Linked DNA regions of Arabidopsis thaliana. The protein of the gene in region 2 interacts with the protein of the main gene of each other region in a pairwise test. Each region holds a gene or a part of one and is shown on either strand. Other genes may lie near its edges.

What was found.
Region 1: the proteins of LUT1 (region 2) and AT5G49130 interact in a protein complementation assay, tested with the Arabidopsis thaliana proteins (one large-scale study listed by BioGRID).
Region 3: the proteins of LUT1 (region 2) and AT3G06470 interact in a protein complementation assay, tested with the Arabidopsis thaliana proteins (one large-scale study listed by BioGRID).

What each region holds. Positions count from the first base shown.
Region 1 is NC_003076.8:19,912,510-19,919,885, forward strand, and holds AT5G49130 (MATE efflux family protein), read left to right. Parts: upstream 1-3,362; 5' UTR 3,363-3,394; coding exon 3,395-3,460; exon of another isoform or gene 3,461-3,573; coding exon 3,574-5,016; 3' UTR 5,017-5,458; downstream 5,459-7,376. Other genes in the region: AT5G49140 (Disease resistance protein (TIR-NBS-LRR class) family), read right to left, coding at 6,576-7,376.
Region 2 is NC_003074.8:19,691,107-19,700,822, forward strand, and holds LUT1 (Cytochrome P450 superfamily protein), read left to right. Parts: upstream 1-1,650; 5' UTR 1,651-1,705; coding exon 1,706-2,203; intron 2,204-2,352; coding exon 2,353-2,649; intron 2,650-2,738; coding exon 2,739-2,936; intron 2,937-3,025; coding exon 3,026-3,127; intron 3,128-3,225; coding exon 3,226-3,366; intron 3,367-3,435; coding exon 3,436-3,543; intron 3,544-3,704; coding exon 3,705-3,787; intron 3,788-3,884; coding exon 3,885-4,047; intron 4,048-4,142; coding exon 4,143-4,172; 3' UTR 4,173-4,585; coding exon of another isoform or gene 4,586-4,963; intron 4,964-5,072; coding exon of another isoform or gene 5,073-5,409; intron 5,410-5,517; coding exon of another isoform or gene 5,518-5,582; intron 5,583-5,949; coding exon of another isoform or gene 5,950-6,249; 3' UTR 6,250-6,436; downstream 6,437-9,716. Other genes in the region: VPS37-1 (Modifier of rudimentary (Mod(r)) protein), read right to left, coding at 76-122, 210-249, 680-767, 862-1,044, 1,371-1,384; AT3G53140 (O-methyltransferase family protein), read left to right, coding at 4,586-4,963, 5,073-5,409, 5,518-5,582, 5,950-6,249; UGT73D1 (UDP-glucosyl transferase 73D1), read right to left, coding at 6,630-8,180. UniProt on the Arabidopsis thaliana protein: Heme-containing cytochrome P450 involved in the biosynthesis of xanthophylls. Specific for epsilon- and beta-ring hydroxylation of alpha-carotene. Has only a low activity toward the beta-rings of beta-carotene.
Region 3 is NC_003074.8:1,980,500-1,987,297, reverse strand, and holds AT3G06470 (GNS1/SUR4 membrane protein family), read right to left. Parts: upstream 3,568-6,798; 5' UTR 3,093-3,567; coding exon 2,256-3,092; 3' UTR 1,968-2,255; downstream 1-1,967. Other genes in the region: AT3G06480 (DEAD box RNA helicase family protein), read left to right, coding at 1-119, 217-494, 581-1,601; AT3G06460 (GNS1/SUR4 membrane protein family), read right to left, coding at 3,721-4,617; AT3G06455 (ubiquitin family protein), read right to left, coding at 5,243-5,961, 6,095-6,413.

The DNA.
Region 1 (7,376 bases), on a different chromosome or scaffold from region 2:
CTTTTAATCGGAATGTGAATATTAATGTGCAAAGATATTAATTTGTAAGTTTTTATCCTCTTTAGAATTAATAGTTTAAATAAAAAATATTTGGCTTGACAAATATCGTGATTGTTACAATTTGGCATATCCAAAGAAATCCGACAGTGTTTATCTATATCAGAAATAAGAAAACATAACTTATTGGGATGTATCTATATATACATTTTTGCAACCATTTTAACAAATAAATCGTGGATTTGGACTTATTTACAACTCAATGCCATTAGCATTAAATCTTTCTCCAAAATAATTAATTTTACTTTAAATTGTTAATCACATTATCAATCAAATTTAATCCAAACAAACTTCAAATCAATCTCTTAAAATTAGCATAAACATATTTGTTAACAATATTTTAAAACAAATTTTTTTGTTAAAACAAATATTATTCTTACTAAACGTTTTTTGTTTAAATAAATAAATCATGTATTTGAACTTATTTACAATGTAATGACACTGACATTAATTATTTAGGAATGAAAATATTAAATCTTCTAAATCCTTGCTTTTAGAATTATTATGTCATTACTTAAAAGGCTCAAAATATAAAAAAATTAAATATTATTATTTATATATCTAGACTTTATAAAACATTATTAATATTTAAACTTATAAAAAGTTTAATATATCATAATTTTTTAATATTATTATATAATATATAGAGTTTTAAAAAATCTTAATTCTTTCCGTCATATTTTGTGACTCGAAATTTTAAAAATAAACATATATTAATCAATTGGCAAAAAATGTGTGAGTTATACGTCCCACATGAACTAAAATATTTAGACAATGATTCATAAATATATCATAAATAAGATTAACATTAATAAAATAATGATTTTTTTACAGGATGGGTTTGGCGGGACGCGATTTAGCAGGACGTTACTTAATAACAAATATAAAGTATAAAATAAAAATATTTTATAGCAAAATTTTATATATACTAATTTTAAAATATAAATTGTCTCCACGGTGTACCACGGGTTAAAATCTAGTTATTTAGTAATTATGCATCTCGTATAAACCAGCTACAAAAATATCAGTGGAAGGATCTTTATCAGCAAGCATATTAGAAAACATTAAAAAATGAATAGTAAACTATGAGTGGGGAAGCAAAAGAAGAGCGACGGCTTGCTATTGGAGACAAAGTTCATACCACACGAACTAGACGATGCATAGTATAGATATAGGTTAGGCATATGTCCATGCATATGTTACGTGTAGATTGAAAGGGCATCGAGATCAACGGTGGAGATGGAAGCAAGTAAAAATAGCCACGTGTGGAAAAAGCAAAAGAAGAGAAGAAGAAGATATAAGCGACGAAAGGAGAGAGGATATGTTTCCTTTGTGATGGGAACATCACAACTCTGTCTCTATTGGTACTTCTAGTTCACTACTTGTCTATGTTTTTTCTTTCAGTACTTAGTTTCCCCCACGATTTACACAACTTTCTTCTGCTCGTATTTACAGATTTTGAAGATTATTTATACATCTTTATATAGAACTACACATGAAATCGTATGAAAGCATGCATGAATCATGATTCATGTGTGTGAAAATTGACGGTATGAAGATGTGTATAAATTTTATACATCTGCGAAAATCATATCTTGTGGCCAAATATCGACCAATTGGAACGGCTTGCAAATTCTATGAAAACGATCGATATGAAAATCTGATTTACATATATAATAGTATTTTCAATTAAAAATCATTTTCCTCAATTTCTATATATGTGTATTTAGCATATATATATATATATATATATCAAATAAACCAAATAACTTCAATAATAATTTAAATATATGAAAATTAAAAAAATTCACTACTCATATGATATAATTCATCACTATAGAACTTATAAAATAAGATCCTGGTAAAAAAAGCATCAATCTTGTATTTCAGTAGTTTATAATGTTAAAATATATGTAATCAAACTTCTCATATTTTTATTAAAACCACACATGGGCTATCTAGCTAATTCACACACACATATATATATATATTGTTTTCGATTGTCATGATGATCATTTATCCACGTAAGCAGAGACAAGATGTAAAATGTCACTAGTTTATAGGGAGTGGAGTGGGAATAAGTAGGAAAAGGGAAAAAATTAAAGGAAAGGTATACATAATTTTCAAGTCGATTTTGGGTTGATAATTACAGTGAGAGGGAGACAACACATTGCGCTATACCTAATTCTAACTAGTTTCATTTCTAGACTGATGGACCAATCATATCACTTTCTACTAATATCGTTAGTTTGAGCTTCATAAATATCTTTTATCACATTTTATTTTAGAAAGGTTGTTGTTAGTTCTATGCATCTTTTTAAACCACACGAAGTTTCAAAAATATTCATAATAATATTTACGCCTTTATAACTAACATATTCAATTTCTTACATTTTATCATGGACAAAAAAAGAGAGTAGTTCCTCAGGAGAAATACAAATTCGATATCTAAAATCAAGTGTTAGTAATCTATTGGTTAATATTTTTTCAACACAAAGATTATTTCATGGTAAATGCATTTTTTAAGATAACAATTGTATGTTCGAACACTAGTTTAGATTCTCTATATGATTTTCCGATACTCAAAGAAACTATACACTCACTTTCTTAACAAATTTATTAGGCCAAATATATACTGTTTCACCGGAGATGCATTCATATTTACTATGGATTAGATAACAATTGTATGTTCCGAACACTATTTTAGTTTAATTTAGATTGCCTATATGCATGATTTTTTTATAACCAAAGAAAATATACACTCACTTTCTTAACAAAGATTAAATAAAGAGATAATCATAAATGGAACTTTGTACTAACAGAATCTTGAGAAGAAATTTGATTTGAGTTTTGTTCTTTTTTTTTTGTTGTTTTAAATTTCCACATGCCTATACTTTCGTTTGTTTATGTGACGCTTTTGTACGACAAAATCAGGTTTGGATTCGTACTTCTTTTAGGTCAATACATTCTTTTGTTTAATTCTGACCAAAAATAAAGAAATATGTTGTTTAATAAAAATGTAGGATATTGAGAGTCGTACTATAATAAAAAAATAAAAAAATCTCGAACTTTGATAGTATAAGAGATATACGATTAAATCTTGAACTTAATATCCTATATTTTTCTCAAACTATACTTAGTTTGTATTTATACTTGTATATATTAGAGTCCACACAAAGAAAAATGGATAACAAATAATGACATCAATATTTTGGGAACCCCCACCATGCCAAACCCAACTCCATGTTACAAAACAAAACAAATAAAATTTCTTTATAAAATGGCATCTTCTCTTCATATTTTTTAAATCTCTCATCTCAATAAACAAACACTAACAATGGTGGTCGAAGAAGATTCACGTCTCATAAATCTCCAACACAAGTACAACCCGACAATGCCCGAGGTACTAAATTAAATCTAAAACTTCTATTCTTAGTAAACTTCTTCCTCAGATAGAGTCTTTCAAATATCTCCTCTCTTATAATTATTATTTTTTTATTTAAAATATTTAAAAAGGTGGTGGAGGAGCTGAAGAGAATTTGGGACATAAGTTTTCCGGTGGCCGCCATGAGCATATTAAACTACCTAAAGAACATGACATCCGTCGTGTGTATGGGACGACTCGGTAGCCTTGAGCTCGCAGGAGGAGCCTTAGCCATCGGTTTCACCAACATCACCGGTTACTCCGTCCTCTCTGGTTTAGCCACCGGTATGGAACCATTATGTGGTCAAGCCATCGGTTCTAAAAACCCTTCACTCGCTTCCTTAACCCTCAAGCGAACCATCTTCCTCCTTCTCTTAGCTTCTCTTCCCATATCACTCCTTTGGCTAAACCTCGCGCCTCTAATGCTGATGCTCCGCCAACAACATGATATCACTCGTGTCGCATCTCTCTATTGTTCCTTCTCTTTGCCTGATCTTCTCGCTAATAGTTTCCTTCATCCTTTACGTATTTACTTACGTTGTAAAGGCACCACTTGGCCTTTGATGTGGTGCACGTTAGTCTCCGTCCTTCTTCATCTTCCCATTACTGCTTTCTTCACGTTTTACATCTCTCTCGGAGTTCCCGGAGTCGCCGTCTCTTCTTTTCTTACCAACTTCATCTCTTTGTCGCTTCTCCTTTGCTACATCTACTTGGAAAACAACAACAACGACAAAACCACTTCCAAGTCTCTTTGTCTTGATACGCCGTTGATGCTGTATGGTTCGAGAGACTCCGGTGAAAATGATGTGTGGTCAACGCTGGTTAAATTCGCTGTTCCGAGCTGTATAGCGGTTTGCTTGGAGTGGTGGTGGTACGAGTTCATGACGGTCCTCGCTGGATATCTCCCCGAGCCGAAGGTGGCGCTAGCAGCAGCCGCCATCGTGATACAAACAACCTCATTGATGTATACAATCCCAACGGCCCTCTCGGCCGCGGTATCCACGAGGGTAAGCAACGAGTTAGGAGCAGGACGGCCAGAGAAAGCAAAAACAGCGGCGACTGTGGCTGTCGGAGCCGCCGTGGCAGTGTCAGTGTTTGGACTTGTGGGGACCACCGTGGGGAGAGAAGCTTGGGGAAAAGTTTTCACCGCCGACAAAGTTGTCCTCGAGCTGACGGCGGCGGTTATTCCGGTGATTGGAGCTTGTGAGCTTGCCAACTGTCCTCAGACCATTAGCTGTGGAATCTTACGTGGCAGTGCGAGGCCAGGTATAGGGGCCAAGATTAATTTCTACGCCTTCTATGTAGTTGGAGCACCAGTGGCGGTTGTTTTAGCGTTTGTGTGGGGTTTAGGCTTCATGGGCCTATGCTATGGCTTGCTTGGGGCACAGCTAGCTTGTGCAATCTCCATTTTGACCGTTGTTTATAACACAGATTGGAACAAAGAGTCCTTGAAGGCTCATGACTTGGTGGGCAAGAACGTCATTTCACCTAATGTCGATCAAATTATTGTCAAATGCGAAGAAGGCCTACACTAACAGTTTTTCCTTCTCTTTTCTTTTTGTTCTTCATATATACTATCTCCATTTATGTCTCAATGATTTGCTTTTGTTTTAAAACTTATACATTTATGTAAGTGTCTTCATTGGACAAGGACAGAATGTAAAACTTTATGAAACACAAAACTGTTGAAGATTTTGCATTATTGAAGGGAGTGGAATCGTGGATTGGATGATGAAGACTTATATGGATGCGATGGCTAATGACCATGACGTGTAATATATATTGGGTGCATGAGTGTATATAGAGATACCGAACCACATGGAAAAACAAGAGCTAATTGGCCGGAACACATGTGCAAGCATGTGCATGTGTACCCATACAAAATAGGCATCATATTAGTGTCCTTGTGGCTTCTCGCTTCTTTTCTCCCACCTTAATTATCTTTCACAACAACTAAAGCTTTAAGCTCATACTTTCAGAAACCTTTAAATGGAAATATATGATTCTCATTTTCATTCAATTGAATCCAAACTAATGTTTACATGTTGGCAGTGGAATAAGCAGTTAGTATGTTTAATGAGGTTTAAAATGAAAGAAACATCATATACACAGTTTCAAATTACTACTGATAAAATATTATAAAATTTGTATCATTCAGATCAGAAAAAATGTGGCATAGAATTAATTATTAACAAAAAACAAAAAAAATGGTGATCGGTGATGAAAGTAAGTTGCCTAATTTCATGCTTGAAGCCATTGTATTTGATAATAACTACGTACGATTGCAAGAGAATTTTGCATGACTATCTTAAAGATATATTATTATTAGCCCTGAATATATTGCGTAGATATATTATAAAAAAATTGAATGCAAAATTATCTATGTTCCGGTAAGATTAGTCAATGAGAAATGGTAAGTCTTAATAACAAAATTTTGTTTTTTTTCGCCAACAATTTTTTTAGTTTTTTTGGGTAAAAGTAGAATAAAGAATCAACAATTAGAATTAGCCACGAATATATTTGGGTGTAGTGAAAGTAAGCCCGATCGAAGAAGATAGGTGGGGAGGGGATAAGGAGTGAGACACATTATGTTTTGTTTCCTTTGTTGTTAACAAATACTAAGACCTTTGAGGTTTGACGTTTTTTACCTCAAAAAACTTCATTACCTTCCGTTCGTACGTACCATGATGTGCCCTGCTTAATTAACACGTGTTCCTTCACCTTTTCACTGTTTTCTGTTGTTTATATTAACACTTTGGCTCGAGCAATTTTATCTACAATAGTCACTATTAAAAGAAGTTTTGATAAATCTTGAATTGAAAATTAGTCTTAAACCTTACCGATCTCTGTCAACATCACACGTACGGGGTTTGCAAGAACAAATCAAAGGCTTAAGCGTAAACTTGACACCACAATTATTAGTTGTTATTGTTGAACAAAATAAAACCAATAATGAAGCACTAATAACACAACATAACGTGCGAGTATTTTAGTGGATATAGTTTGAAATGAAGTTAAACTTTTAACATAAGTACTTTTTTTCATTTTCGAACGCTCCGACATCTTGTAGAAGTTCCTGATAGCTCCCGAATGCTTATGCATCTGTCAATATTTGTACACCACATTCCGTAATCTCGTGGTGTATGCTGCTGAATCCAAACCGTATCACATCCACTTCTTCAAGTAAGACTGAGTTAAATATAAACAGATGCGGTGTGACAAAGTCCTTGACAACTCCACCAAATCTATGTGCTGCGATGAGACGACCACTTTCACCTATGAGACGACAATATACAGTACAAATATTGTTCCTTTCGCTTGGGAAAAGTAGGATGCAAGCCTTAAATCTTAAAGATGAAGAACAAACATTTTCATCTTCTAGATGGATGGTCAAGGAACCTCCTCTGGCACGGTGACTGAACTCCAGAGGAACCTCTTTGCCAGGTAAGCATGCTCTCTTGTAAACCCATTGCTGCGTGATTACTCGTCGTGCTTCTCCATCGAAATTCATGGATTTGCTGAACTCGACTTTCGCATTTGGACAGTCGAAAGATGAAGATATTCTCTCAAGTGATTCACAATTTATTGCTGATAGAATCTTGATCGAACTTGGAAGCTCTGGCAGTGACACAAGTTTTCTACAATTATCGACGTATAAGTAGTGTAGCCAAGTGAGATCTTTGATACAATCTGGAAGCCTTTCAATACCGCTATCCGTTAGGTATATATACACTACACTCTTGGGGACATGTGAAAATATCTTGAGGTTTAGGCAGCCACTAATATCAAGGGATTCAAGGCGAGACCATTGACTAATTGATGGAGGTATTTCTTCTATCCCTGTGTTTTTCATAAAGATTCTTTCGATGTTCTTCGAAATATCTGGAAAACTTTT
Region 2 (9,716 bases):
GACTGGTAAATCAGAGATATCGAAAAGGTATAACATGGTAAAACTGAACAAGAAAAGTTGGTTCTTGATACACACTTGGTTTCTGAGCTCCATTATCTGTGGCTCCTTCTCCAAGTTGTCTCCTGTTACATTTGATCAAATGGAAAGTTCTAGATTTCTGGATTGAACTAAAGTTTCCTGTAGAATTACATGAACCATAGAGTACTTACTAGCTAGCTGCAATGTTTCTCTACGGAGCTCATCTTTGATCTGACGGACAGAAACAAATCACGAAAAAATTAACGTCCAGAGACTATAACAAGGAACCAGAAAGCTGATGACATGATACAGGCTTTATCAAACAATATCAATGTATAGACTTGAAAGAGCACTAATGAATTATATCAACACAGAACTAAAGAAGCTACATATTCTTAGAGCTACAGATAAGACCCTCGGTTATCCAGAAACAACCGACTGTTTTAGAGACTATAACAAAGAACCAGAAAGCTCTAATTACTGGCAACATGTAGAAGATGACGCCATGATAAAGGCTTCCTCAAACAATATCAATGTATATACTTGAAAGAGCACCAATGAATAATATCAACACATAACTAACGAAGCTCCATTCTTAGGACTACAATTAATAGTAATACTCTTAGCTATCCAGAAACAACTGACTGTTTTAGAGACTTACATTATTCTGGACTTTGACCTGGTCAAGAGAGAGCAGAAATTGCTGATACGCATCTTTGTCAGAGAGAAGCTTCCTGAGTTCATCCACGCTACAGAAAAGTATACACTATTCAAAAAGAAGACATACAAAAAAAACGCACACTCGAGAGAAGGATAACAAACAAACAAACAAAAAGAGCAAACCTTTTGTCTTTCAAGAAGACGATAATGCCAGCTGCTTCACCCGGTGATACTTGTGCTGAAATCTGACCTGAACTTTGAGGCCGGGATGAGCTTGGCGAGCTAACTAAAGAAGGCGAGTACCATGGCGACTGTGAAGAAGCTTCCTGAGGACGAGATTGCCCTTGTTGTTGGTCTTTTGATCCCCTTCACGTACACAACAAAAAAAAGAAACATCATCAACTAACTATCTCAGCTTCCAAGTTAATATAATACATCACCTCATAAACTTGAAAGGTGCATTTATACAGCACATCATTGTAAACCTAATATCAGTAACTATGAACCCTAAATCAGTAGCTGAGCAAAATCTACACTTGTCAATTCACCTCAAAAACCTCAAATATATCATTATAGCTCAACAAACTACACAACAACAAGATTTCCTTAATCGCTAACAGACCTAATGTCTGGATCACGCAATTTCATCAATAACATATGAATCAGATGGCAAAAAATTCGCAAAATCATACCAGAAATTGAACATCGTTTCTAGAATTCGCCGACTAACGAAAGGAATTGACTTTTTCTTGTTCTCTTGTACTTCTTCTTCCTACCAGATCGACAAAATTTAACAACTTTACAGAAACAGAGTTTACAGAGTTTCAAAGAAAATTCGATCTTCTCTGTTTCGTTTCAGATTTTGCTACTTGCTTTTAAAAGGCCCAAATACGAGGAGGCCCATATTAAGTTTTGATTAACAAAACGTAGTCGTTTTATGCATCGTCGTCCTTATCCACGCGTAACGGTTCGCGTTTCTACACAGAGTCAAATATTTCTGCACGGAAGCTTCGAAAAGAGGTCATCAATGGAGTCTTCACTCTTTTCTCCATCTTCCTCTTCTTACTCTTCTCTCTTCACTGCAAAACCTACGCGTCTTTTATCACCAAAACCCAAATTCACATTCTCCATCAGATCCTCCATTGAGAAACCCAAACCCAAACTCGAGACCAATTCATCGAAATCCCAATCATGGGTCAGTCCCGATTGGCTCACAACACTCACTCGTACCCTTTCCTCAGGAAAAAACGACGAGTCAGGTATACCAATCGCGAACGCGAAGCTCGACGATGTCGCTGATCTCCTCGGAGGTGCTCTCTTCTTACCTCTCTACAAATGGATGAATGAGTACGGACCCATTTACCGTCTCGCTGCTGGTCCTCGTAATTTCGTAATTGTGAGCGACCCAGCGATAGCTAAACATGTTTTGAGGAATTATCCAAAGTACGCTAAAGGCTTAGTCGCTGAAGTCTCTGAATTTCTATTTGGTTCGGGTTTCGCTATCGCTGAAGGACCTCTTTGGACAGTAATTTCATCTCCTCCTATCTCAATTTTGAAGTTTTTGGAATTGTGGAAGTAATGTGTGACTGTCTTGTATGATAAGTAACTCTAATTTTAGGGTTTAGATTCCAATCTTCTCTATTGGGCTTAGCTGAAGTCTGATTTTTTACATAGGCGAGGCGTAGAGCGGTGGTTCCATCGCTTCACAGGAGGTATTTGTCTGTGATTGTGGAGAGAGTATTCTGCAAATGTGCAGAGAGGCTTGTTGAGAAGTTGCAGCCTTATGCAGAAGACGGAAGTGCTGTGAATATGGAAGCGAAGTTCTCTCAGATGACACTTGATGTCATTGGGTTGTCTCTTTTTAACTACAATTTCGATTCTTTGACTACTGATAGTCCTGTCATTGAAGCTGTTTACACTGCTCTTAAAGAAGCTGAGCTTCGTTCTACTGATCTTCTGCCATATTGGAAGGCAAGTTTCCTGTGTTTTTTCTGTGGTTTGTTGATTGTGTGGAACAATTGGATTCTTGTTAATTGAGAGGGTTTGGTTGTTTTTTTCAGATCGATGCATTGTGTAAGATAGTCCCGAGACAGGTGAAAGCTGAAAAGGCTGTAACTTTGATAAGGGAAACTGTTGAAGACCTTATTGCTAAGTGTAAAGAAATTGTCGAAAGAGAAGGCGAAAGAATCAATGATGAGGAGTATGTAAATGATGCTGACCCAAGTATCCTGCGTTTCTTGCTTGCAAGCAGAGAAGAGGTTTAAACTTTTTTCCTTAAGTTTATAAGCAAATTTGGCCTTTCATTATCGCATAATCGAAGCTGATGTTGCATTGTGAGGGTTTTCAGGTATCAAGTGTGCAGTTACGGGATGATCTTCTCTCAATGCTCGTAGCGGGTCATGAAACCACTGGATCTGTCCTCACTTGGACACTTTATCTCCTAAGTAAGGTACCTTAATGTATCTTCTACTTTGCTATGCTAGAGAATTTACTTGGATGGGAGCTTCTCTGTTCTCATTTACCTCTTCAAATTCTCTATGTTCATAGAACTCATCTGCATTAAGGAAAGCACAAGAAGAAGTAGACAGAGTGTTAGAAGGAAGAAACCCGGCTTTCGAGGATATAAAGGAGTTGAAGTACATCACTCGTTGTATAAACGAGTCAATGCGTCTCTATCCTCATCCTCCTGTAAGCAATCAAGCTCATCTCTCTAATTATTCATGAACTAAATTTTCTGATTGATTTGTTTCCTGGTAGGTCTTGATAAGAAGAGCTCAAGTTCCTGACATTCTTCCTGGGAACTATAAGGTCAATACCGGACAAGACATTATGATTTCAGTCTATAACATCCATCGTTCTTCCGAGGTACAGTTCTCTTCCTTCTCTCGTCCATAGTATAACATAGGGGAGCCTAATCCTTCTCTTCAATGATCTTTGTGTGGTTCGGATATCTAACCGGAGTGGACATTCCTAGTATTACATTCATGCCCACATTTCTTATGTGTTTGTTGTTTGTTATTCCAAAGGTATGGGAAAAAGCTGAGGAATTTCTGCCTGAACGATTCGACATAGATGGCGCAATCCCTAACGAAACAAACACTGATTTCAAGTAAACTCAGTAGAACACATCTTTTGACACAAACTACTGAATCAAGATTAGTGGTTTTGATTAGGGAATTTAAAAGATGATTTTCTTTTTTCACCAGATTCATCCCATTCAGTGGAGGGCCTAGAAAATGTGTAGGCGATCAGTTTGCATTGATGGAGGCAATTGTGGCACTCGCGGTGTTTCTTCAGCGGTTAAACGTTGAGCTGGTTCCTGATCAGACCATTAGCATGACCACAGGAGCAACCATACACACCACCAATGTATGCCAATGTTCTCACACTCGAGAGATTAATGAGAGTGTCTGTTTTGTTTAGAATGATTCCAATTTCTCTAATGCTGATATTTTCAATTTCAGGGATTGTATATGAAGGTGAGCCAAAGGTAAAAACCAGAATTTATGTTTTCATGATAATTGATTGGTGTGAATGGACTTGTTTCATAGTACTCTTGAGAAATAACCACAAAAAAATGAATTATGGAAAATAGTTGTACCATCGGAAATGTGAATTTTGAACAGTGAGATGCTAGTACCATTAAAGTTTGGTAATTGTGTTATCATTTCAAATCAAACTTTCATACAGCTTGTGTTTGTTCTCCATTTTTCAGTAATTACGAAAATCAAAATTTTATTTTTTTTTGAATTTCTAAATAATAGACTAAGGTCTAAAACCATCCCATTCCATATGGACCACACGTAACATTAACCTTAAAAACCATATAAAACCATATAAAACCAATACTAGTGGGTTCTATAGCGATGTGTAGTTTCACTTTCACGTACGAGGAAGATTAAAAAAAATGGAGAACGAAAGCTCAGAGAGTAGAAACAGAGCTCGTCTTGCCATTATGGAGCTTGCTAACATGATTAGCGTTCCCATGTCTCTCAATGCCGCCGTGCGACTAGGCATTGCCGACGCCATTTGGAACGGCGGAGCCAATTCTCCTCTCTCTGCCGCCGAGATCCTCCCTCGCCTCCACCTACCATCTCACACTACCATTGGTGGCGACCCCGAGAATCTTCAGCGTATACTTCGGATGCTCACCAGCTACGGTGTCTTCTCCGAACACCTTGTTGGATCCATTGAGAGGAAATACTCTCTTACGGACGTCGGAAAAACTCTTGTAACCGACTCCGGCGGCCTCTCTTACGCTGCCTACGTCCTCCAACATCACCAGGTTTATGACTCATTTTCATTTTCCAAAATTGGAGTGATATATTAAAGGACTAATGATGGTATAATAAACTAATGTCTAAAACTTGTTGTGAAAATGATATATATTACAGGAGGCGTTGATGCGAGCATGGCCACTAGTTCACACGGCAGTGGTGGAGCCGGAGACAGAGCCGTACGTGAAAGCAAACGGCGAGGCGGCATACGCTCAGTATGGGAAAAGTGAGGAGATGAATGGTCTAATGCAAAAGGCAATGTCTGGCGTATCTGTACCGTTCATGAAAGCTATATTAGACGGCTACGATGGGTTTAAATCAGTGGATATTTTGGTTGACGTAGGAGGTAGTGCAGGGGATTGTCTGCGTATGATCCTTCAACAATTTCCTAACGTCCGTGAAGGGATTAATTTCGATTTACCTGAAGTTGTTGCCAAAGCCCCCAATATTCCTGGTGAGATTTTGTATTTATGATATATTGTACGTACGTTATTTTCTGAAAGTAAAAAGCTATTTTTAGTAATGTACGGAGTAATAATGGATGATATATTGTATGGTTTAGGAGTGACTCACGTGGGTGGGGATATGTTCCAATCAGTTCCTAGCGCTGACGCTATCTTCATGAAGGTTTGTTGTAACATTATTGTCTGTCACGAGAATACACCTACTAACATTTTTGCTAATAGGACGAATTCTAGTTTCTGTATATAGTTTTAATGTTTAGTGATATAGGTATAAATTTATAAGTCGCTTCGGACAATATGTTTGGTAGTATATAGTCTTAGTTATCGTTAGATCATGCGACTGGTCACTTTCATTTATTTATGATCATTTAAATATTGATTATACATTTCTCAAACCAAAAACTTGTGATCTGTTAGACCATGGATAGGGATCTCATGTTTGTTGAAAGAACAACACAAACAAATACACACATTTTTTGCTTCTCTGGTCCCAAATTAATATCTTGTAATATTGTTGTTTGAGTGTAAAGTGGGTGTTAACGACATGGACGGATGAAGAATGCAAGCAGATAATGAAGAATTGCTACAACGCGTTACCAGTTGGAGGAAAGCTGATTGCGTGTGAGCCGGTCTTGCCTAAGGAAACCGATGAAAGTCACCGGACTCGTGCCTTGTTAGAAGGTGACATCTTTGTCATGACCATCTATAGAACCAAAGGTAAGCATAGAACCGAAGAAGAGTTTATAGAGCTTGGTCTCTCCGCGGGATTCCCTACTTTTCGACCTTTCTACATTGATTACTTCTACACCATCTTAGAGTTTCAGAAGTAATATTCAAGCATTTTTCTTCTCATATTTCTAAAAGCTTCAAAATAATGAATCAAAAGACCTCTTTGTTAATTGAGTTGAGATATCTAGTGAAGACATTAATATTTTCATCAAGATGTAATAATCTAAAGTCTATATTCTAAGTGCATCCTTAAAAGGCATTTTCCATATATATAAGTTTCATCTTTCGAGAAAAAGGAAAAAAGACTCTTTAAGTGATGATTTCAAGAGTATTTCTAAATCACTCATTAGGCTAAGAGAAGAGTTCGAAAGTATACATATTATGCACATTATATCTATATGAATTTTTCTTCTTTGGCAAAAAGAAAAATCGTTTGGTGTTATTCTTATAAATCTTATGTCAACTTCTACATTCGATTTTTCTACACGAGACTCAATTGCTCCAAAACATCTTGGATTAAAATTGAAACGTTAATACTCGAAGATCCCTTTTCTTCCACAGCCTTTTTCGCCATTACTGCAAGTTCTTGAATACGTCTCCTTCGTCTCACGAATTCATTATCATCATCATTTTCGTCTACACGTTGACAATCTTGGTCCATCAAAAGCTTTATAGCTTTCACAACACTCGGTTTCTTGACCAACACTCCAAGTCTCTCCTCGTCTCCCCATCTCACCGGAATCTCCACCCCAACCCTAACCCCGATGTTCAAAACCTCCACGATGAGTTTCTCATTGAGAAATTGTTCAGCGAACAACGGCCATGTGATCATTGGTACACCAAAACATATCGCTTCTATTGTAGAATTCCAACCGCAATGAGTCAAGAACCCGCCGGTTGAACCATGTGAGAGTATCATAGCCTGAGGACTCCAACCCTTTATTACTATCCCTCTTCCTCTAACTCGCTCTTCAAAATTTTCGCGTTTTAGCCATTCGTCTAGCTCAATCATGTGTTTTTCCTCGGTCTTTATCACCCAAATAAAGGGTTTTCCCGATTCTTCTAACCCTAAACCTAGTTCTATCAATTGATTAGGTATTAGTCGACAGAGGCTACCAAGAGAAACATATAAGACTGACCTTGGTCTCATCGAGTCAAGAAACTGCAAGCATTCGGTCTCGCTTATTGCGATGTTACCATTACTTCCTCTATCGAATAGGTCAGCCATACGGTCGTTGCATAAAGAAACGGGTCCAACGAACCATACCTTCTTATTGATGGCCTCAGCGTAGGCCTCTGCATAGCCAGGCTCCAATTCCTGGAAGCTATTAACAATAACCCCAAAGGCTTCTGATTCAGATTCACGCATCTTCTCGCGAACGTCATCCATATTTGCTAACTTCTCAAAAGCACCAGGTAACTGAGCTCTAGCTATCTCAATCCTATGTGGCATTCCTGGTATAGGGAATGGCTCTACGGCCGAAGAAACCGAGAGGTGCGGGCTATGAAGATGGATATTGTGCGAACTCAAAAGAGAGAAGCAACACATTCCATGGAACACGATCCTCGGGATTTTGAACCTCTTTGCGGTTCTTGACGTCCAAAAAAGGCATTTATCGGAGATTATGCAACTTGGAGGGATATCTTGTTGCTCAAGAAACCGTTCCATGGGCTCTTGGAGTTTATCCACAGCGTCATAGAATCTTCGTAGGAGGTCTTTGGAGGGCAAAGTGTCCAGAGTCTCACAATCTTTGGGAAGACCGAATTCTTTGTAAGGAATTGGAAATTTAACGACATTGATTTCGAGACCCGACTCTAATCTTGCTCGGTCAACTGTCTTCGCAAACCTAGAAGCATTTTGAGGGGTTGTAACTATGGTAACGATGTTGCCTTGTCGTGCAAGAATCTTGGAGATGTCGACCATGGGGATCAGATGCCCTTGAGCCATGAGAGGGATCAAAACAAAGTGAAGTCTTTTGGCTTTTGAAACTATTTTTGATTCCATTTTTGGGTTTAGCAAATGTTTATGCATATACAAAATTCGACAATGTGTATATACGTGTGTGAATGCATCTGGTGAGAGACCTTTAATTAATTGGGAAAGTCATCAAAAGCTGTATATATATACTGACTTTGAACAAGTCACCAAAAAAGAACTATTGTTTAGAGAACCAATCATGTACCCTCATTCTTATAAAAAAAAATCGCTGACGGTGATGAGTTACGTCATTCATGACACTTAATGAGTTACATAAGATAAAACTTCAAGGAAAATATATATGTGAGGAAAACTTCAAGGAAAATTCACAAATGAAACAAAAAAAAAAATGTTGAGTTATCCAGTGAGATATGTAAATTTAAGTTAAAAGAATCTTATCTTAAATATTTATTAGTAAAACAAGTTAAATATTCACTGACACTTACGAAAAGACAACTATATATATAAAAATATCGTTATCTTAATTTGGTTTATTTTGTATTACGACTTCTGTATAAAGAAGTACCAAGTAGGTCAAGCTTGGCCGATGGGGCTGTTAGAGTTCCATTGATTATGGTTTTGTCTCCACCTAAAGATAGATTATTTGTTTGGTTATCACATGATCGATCACATCGTTAATCTACATGAGTTTCATTTAATTTCTTTCCGGTGTGTTCAAAGAGATCGATTTGTTAATGCAAATGAAATCAATTTAAAATTAGCACTCGATAGAATTTCAACACATTTGTACAAGAGTTCACGTTGAGCTTTAAATTGAACAAAAGAAGAAGAATTAGGACTTCTAATTTTATACAAAATGTGATTTTATTTTCCTCATAATAAAGAGTCTTTTTTGCGTAGGTTTAGGTTCACGGAGTTCCTGTTTTTCTTTGTTCCAAACATTGGTTCCAAGATCGCATGAAAGAAAGAGAGAAGGAAAACAAAATCAAAGGCGCTATCTCAAAGTCAAGATAGATTGAACAAGATATGATATTCGATATGTAATTTTTTAATTTATATTTTTGGAATCAAATTCATCTGGTTGTAATGAACGAATCTATAACTTTTTTATTTTTTTTGGGCAAACGAATCTATACTTTTGATGCGAAATGATTGAGATATTCTATAAAGTTATTGTCTATCAGAATATGTATACTAAAAAGATTATTTTGATGACTAATTAAGAACAAGATAATGTATGGAAAGAAAAAAAGATAATGAATGACAACTTGGATATATTTTTATATATTAATGTATGATCTCAACCCTCGGTTATGTAGGTTGCCCATCGAAATATATTGGAGATTAAGCCTTTAAAAAAAAAAAATATATACATATATTGGAGATTGGGAAAAAATACTTCCCAAGTTTAATTTTTTATCATCAAAAGTTCATAAAATATTTTAAGTCAAGGCATTTCTACAAACTAATTAGGAAACTATATACCTAGCTAGCTAGCTTTTAGCCCAAGAAAATCATATAGTTGTGATAGTTAATTTAAGCATTCGTTTTGAATAAACAAACACCAAACACCACGGCATATTTTCCTTATCTTTTTAGAGTTCCGTCTGAAAAGGACATATTTTTTTG
Region 3 (6,798 bases), about 18 Mb from region 2:
TGTACACAGCCACTTGGCCAAAAGAAGTAAGAAAAATTGCAAGCGATCTTCTTGTGAACCCTGTCCAAGTTAACATAGGCAGGGTAGATGAGTTGGCTGCTAACAAAGCAATAACGCAGGTGATGATCATCTAAACCATTTTATATCACTGTAAAGCAATACTTACACATAACTTGGTGATGAGGTTACTGAAGCAAACCCATCCTTATAACGCAGTATGTTGAAGTAGTCCCACAAATGGAGAAAGAGAGACGTTTGGAGCAAATCCTTAGGTCACAAGAACGAGGTTCAAAAGTTATAATATTTTGCTCCACGAAGAGGCTTTGTGACCATCTTGCACGTAGTGTCGGACGTCATTTTGGCGCTGTTGTGATCCATGGAGACAAGACTCAAGGTGAGAGAGATTGGGTGCTTAACCAGTTCCGAAGCGGGAAGTCTTGTGTACTGATAGCTACTGACGTTGCTGCCCGGGGACTCGACATAAAAGACATACGGTTTGTTGTAATAATTCCTGGTATATATCTCTTTGCTTGTTTGTTATCAAGATTACTTACCTTTGTTCGTGTTTATACTACTTCAGAGTTGTGATCAACTACGATTTTCCAACTGGAGTTGAAGACTATGTCCACCGTATTGGGAGAACCGGTCGAGCTGGTGCAACTGGAGTTGCATTCACTTTCTTTACAGAGCAAGATTGGAAATACGCACCTGATTTGATCAAAGTCCTGGAAGGAGCGAACCAGCAAGTACCGCCTCAAGTAAGAGATATTGCAATGCGTGGTGGTGGTGGTGGTGGTCCCGGTTATAGCCAGGATCGAAGAGGTATGGTTAACCGGTTTGACTCTGGCGGTGGTGGTACCCGTTGGGATTCTGGTGGTGGGTTTGGTGGGCGTGGTGGTGGGTTTAGTGGCCGTGAGGGTGGGTTTGGAGGCCGTGAGGGTGGATTTGGGGGCCGTGAGGGTGGATTTGGAGGCCGTGGGGGAAGATTTGGAATGAGAGATGACTCATTTGGACGTGGCGGGAATCGTGGTCGGGGTTTTACTGGTCCTGATGCTGGTCATATGAATGTGGGTGGTAGAGGCGGATTTGGTCGGTTTGGCAATAATAATAATATGGAGAGCCGAGGCTTTGGTCGTGGTAGTGGTAGAGGCTTTGGTCGTGGTGTTGGACGGTTTGACAACAGAAGAGGTAGAAGTCGCAGCAGAAGTCCTGATTTGGTTCGGCCACGGCGCCGTAGCTCGAGCTATAGCCGGAGTCGAAGCCGGAGCGGGAGCTATAGTCGTAGCCGTAGCCGTAGCAGGAGCTGGTCACGTTCAAGGAGTCGCAGCCCTAGACATAGCCGTGACCGAGGTGGTCATAACAGGAGCAGAAGCTATAGCCGTAGTCCTAGTCCGGTTTATGAAAGACGAGATAGAGCGCCACGTGTTTCTGGGTTTGATATTAAACCACCAGTTGAATCTGTAGTGAACCTGGACATGAATGCCGCGGCAGCGATTGAAAACGTGGTTCCTACATCCTTGTCTGAGAGACAAGGGAATGGGGTTGTTGAATCGGAGGTAGAAGCGGCTTTAGTACGACCAGTGGTTGATGAAGAACCCTAAAACCAAATCATAGAATGATATAAATCCTCACTACGGAGATATCACAAGCTCACCCCAAATTTTTTGGGTATTGAATGGATTCACCAAATCAGACAGCTGACACGTCTTCTCAGATTTGTTGGCTGAGGTTTCTTTATTTTCATTTTTTTATTTTTTTCTCATGTTCTTGTTGTATCATGGAGAATTAGTTTGTAATGTATTTGAGAATTTTTATCGTTTATGTAAACGCCTTCTATTGCCTTCAGAAAAATCTAGACTAGCATCAAAGGAAGAACTTGGGAAAAACTGTAATTCTAGTCTTCTAGATAGACAGATACAGCATTTAGAGATGATAAATTTACAATGTTCTTGGAATGGTGAACGATGTTTAAATTCAATTCTTGCTTACATCATTGCATGAATTCTTTAGATTGAACGTACTTTTCAGTCAAAGAATTAGAGATGATGAGTCCATGTCATGACTTTTGTGATATTTTGATATTTTCTGTCATCTTATATTCATACAAGTACAAAAGTATCTCAACATTTGCAAGTACAACACAGACAAAAATTTCAAAATAAACAACAATTCAAGACAATTAATCCTTTTGTGTGGAAACTAATCAACAATTCAAGACACAATGAGAGGTTTTACTTATTGTCCAAGAAACCAATCTAATCGCTTTTTTTGCCATCCTCTCTCGTTGGCTTCTTGACATAATTCTTTGAATGGAAGTTGGAAAAGAGAGCCAAAAGAGAAGCATTAAATGCAGCGTTGAAACACCATCCCCAAATCCCGGTGCAACCCGACCCGAATAAGTGCTCTCGGAGCATCCAACCGGATAACCCGAAACTGAAAACAAACTGAACAATCTGACAATCCGTCACCAATCTCTTCCACTTGGGCCTCGATCCAACGGCGCAGAGGAAGTAGTAACCGTACATGATGACGTGTACCGTCGAATTCGTCACGAGCGCAATCGGAAACATCGATTGGCGAGTTCGGAGCCAGAGATAACACATGACCACAACCGTCGCGTGGTGGTACACGTGGAGGAAGGATAGCCGTTGGATTGATTTGCCGAGTATGATGAGGATCGTGTCTCCGAACTCGAGGATCTTCGAGAGGTAGAAGACTTGAGCCCAGAAGAAAAGCGGTCCGTTAGGTTTAACGTCGACGGGAAAGCAAATCGCGTGAAGGAAACGCGCCATCGGATCTGAAGACGCGTGAGATGAGGTTATTGAGAGAGTGCAACCGACGGCCATGACTAAGGAGAGGAGACAGAGGATTAGGCTGTGGACGGCTGTGATCGGTTTGAGGATACGTGGACTGAGTGATGGGAGTGAATCGATGGCGGATCGGAGGAGGAACGTGGCGGAGAGGTAAACGGAGACTACGACGGATACGAAAAAGACGGTGGAGCCTAGGGTTTCACCTTCGATCCAAGTAAAATTGGAGATGTAGGGGTGGTTAACGAGCCAGTAGGTTAAAGAGGAGTAAATTGATGCCATAGCCTCCGGTGAATCGCCGACGAAGTTTGGGGAGTTGACGTTTGAAGATATGGTTTAGCGAGAGATGAAGGATCAAAGGCTTACCCAATTGGCTAATTTTCATGAAAGTGGGTCCCAGAGGATCTTGTTTTTATCTTTTTTAAGTATAGTATCGTATAATATTATATTTAGATGATATGCTACTGTTGTTGTTATTTGTTGAATTGGGCCACGCCGCCGTAGCCCGTAGTTCTAGCCCGGTTTATGAGGACTACGAGATAGGCCCATTGTAGCAGCGGCGGCTCTTAAAAACCGTGGTCACTCTCTCCTCCATTATCATAAAGAGAGGGTTTGGTACGACCAGTGGTTGATGAACCAACACTGGTAGGCATAAAAAATATTATAGAACTAATCTCAGTGTCCAATCCTTTAAAGAAACGTTGGTTGGCAAATGTTGTATAGAAAGATGTATGCAATAAGAAGAATCAGACGATCATGATGATTTTATGTGACATTTTTATATATTTTGTCATCTTATTCGTTAATATATAAAACAATTTCAAACCATGCATCCCAACATTTTACAGTAACAACTAACAACACACATCAACATATCCAAACTAGATATATATATAATAATCATGACAATTTAATCGTTTTTCTTGGAAAATAATGTAATCGCTTTATTTGCCCACCTCTCTCCGTGAATAAATATAAAGGATTCGATCTTATACAAAGGCGACGTTGTAGTCTTCTCATAGTTCTTGGAGTGGAAGTTGTAGAAGAGAGCCAATAGAGAAGCAGTAAACACACCATTGAAATAAACTGTCCAAATCCCGGCGCAACCCGACCCGAAATAATGCTCTGGGAGCATCCAAGCGGCTCCTAACCCCATGCCGAAAGCAAACTGAACCATTTGAAAATTCGTCACCAACTTCTTCCACTTGGGCCTCGATCCGATAGCGCAGAGGAAATAGTACCCGTACATAATCACATGGACCGTCGAGTTCAACACGAGCCCAACAGGAAACATCGATTGACGTGTTCGTAACCAGAGGTAGCACAAAATCACAACCGTTGCGTGGTGGTAGACGTGGAGGAACGAGAGCCGTTGGATTGATTTGTTGAGTATGATGAGAAGTGTGTCTACGAACTCAAGGATCTTCGAGAGGTAAAAGACTTGAGCCCAAAAGAAAAGCGGTCCCTTAGGTTTCACGTCGAGGGGGAAACAAACGGCGTCGAAGAGACGCGCCTTCGGGTCCGAGGAAGAGATTAGGGAGAGAGTGCAACCAACGGCCATGGTTAAGGAGAGGAGGAAGAGAATGAGGCTGTGAACGGCTGTGATTGGTTTGAGAATGCGGGGACCGAGTGTGGGGAGTGAATCGACGGTGTATCGGAGGAGGAATGTGGCGGAGAGGTAAAGGGAGACGACGACAAAGACAAAGAAAACGGTGGAGCCTAGTGTTTCACCTTCGGTCCACGTGAAGTTGGCAATGTAGGGGTGGTGGACGAGCCAGTAGGTTAGGGTGGAGTAAACAGATGCCATTATTCTCTAGCGAAGTTAGTTTGGAGGAGTTGAAGTTTGATATGGCTTATATACACATACTAATGGAGTAAACGGATGGTGGCGTTGCGTCTTCTTATTTGTTTTGGAACATGAAGTACAACGGTGCCATTGCGTCATGAATACTCTAAGTCACGCAACTGCTCCGGTTTCCCGGCACTGATATGGGAGAGAGACGATGGGGTCATCAGAGGCTTACCAATTTGAATAACGTGGGAAGGTAATATCGTAATGAATGCATCATCAATATTTTTTTATCATGCATAAGCATAACGTGGGAAGGTAATATCGTAAAATCTAGTTATCAATGTGATGATGATTAATGCTAATGGTGTTTTAAAAGGAGAAAAACTTGTCTTTAATAAGAGGAAGTTTAGGCTTGGTGACTGAAAATTGTCGTTTTTTCAAATAAGGCTATAGGTTTTTAAAACATTTGGGCTTAGAACCCATTTCGGTAGGGACTTAACCAAAGATAACTGAAACATTTGAACTCCTAGGCCTTGTCATCTAACACACATTTCTTATTTACATAATGGCTTGTATGATTTGAACTACAAGCCAAAAAACTTCAAAAGGGTGTAATCTTTTTGAAGATGGATGTTGGTCTTCATTTCTTGGCCAGTAATTTCTTCGGGAGCTTATCGAGGGGCGTTGATTTAAGTAAAAATAGCCTCGCAGCTCGCTCTCGCAATGTCCCTCTGCATTTCAGACCGCGTGACTGAAGCTCAGTCTTCAATCTCTCCATCCCCAAAACCTCCATATCTGTGGCTGCTTTGAACTCAGCAAAGTTAAGCGGTTCAACAGGTTTGCAACACACTCTTTCTTTCGCAGTTCCTCCTCTCTTTACGACAAAATCATCGTTTCCACTTGATTTCTCCACCTTTTCAAGTTGATCCATTGCATCAGCAACAGCAAAATCATCCATCTTCTCTTCGTTAATTCTTTGAACAACCGTGATCTCTCCCTTAACTACATCTGAACTTTGGTGCACTACAAAGTCGTTCTCACCATCATGGGATCCATCCAAAACAGAGCCTGAGCTTTCATCAGTATCCTTATGATCTGAATCAACTTGACCACCAACAACAGATTTCTCATCTTCCTCGTCACTGCTATCATCACTGTCACTATCTTCAACAGCTCTCTTTCCATTCCATATTTTGATTCGTTTCGATTTTTCAGATTCTGCAGTACCCATCTTCTTCCCTTTTCTCTTATTCCCATTCTTGAAAGTTTCGTTCAAAGCCAAATGCACAGCCAAAATACACTTATCAGATCCCCCCTTATACTTGTTGACATTCTTCTGCGTAGCTCCATCTCCAACACCTTGTTTAGCATTATTGGATTGCTCCTTCAGATACTCAAGAGCCTTTTTCTCAAAATTCCTCCCTTATTCACCATCCTTCCACTCCTGAAGCCTGTTCTCGGCGTTTACATCTCCGTTCACTCATATCCCTACACGAATCGAAATTGTTTGTCTTCTTCTGTCCAGCTTTCATAACCACATTACGAAGTAACGATCCGAGTCCACCTTTGCCTCCACGGAGGGACAGGACAAGATTCATGGTGGTGTCAGACTGAGAAATCGCGGATGCGCCGGGGATTTGGAATCCTCCGCTTATCAATCTCTGTAGATGCGTCGGAATCTTCGTTTGCTCGAAGATCCGCTGCTTGATCTGCTCGCCACACGCTATCGGAGAGGAAAAGGTTAGGGTTACTGATTTTCCGTCGAGTAGTCTCACGAAAAACTGCAACGGCTTACAACTTTGATCCGCCATCGATTTTCGATTCTAAAGCTTGGACGAAGAAGAAGAACAAAGTTCGATTCGATTTCTGGAGAGAAATTGGGGGAAAGTTGAAAAACGGATCCCTAAGGTAGTCTGAGTCTCTCTCTCTCTCTGCTTGTTGGGCTAAGAATAAGATTTCTTTTTGGTAATGTGTTGGGCTAAGAATAAGATTGATATCTCTTCTGATGCGGTTTCTTCTTGTTGGGCTTCATAGTTGGGCTTTTCGTTTTGAAAAGTCTTAGGTTTTATGTTTTGCTTTGGCTAGTTTGTTGTCTATGACCTTTTTAGCTTGATGTATGTGTTTCGTATCTTAATAAAATACAAAAGAGTGTATTACAAAAGAAAAAAAAAAAGATGTTTGTAGAGTGAATTAAAA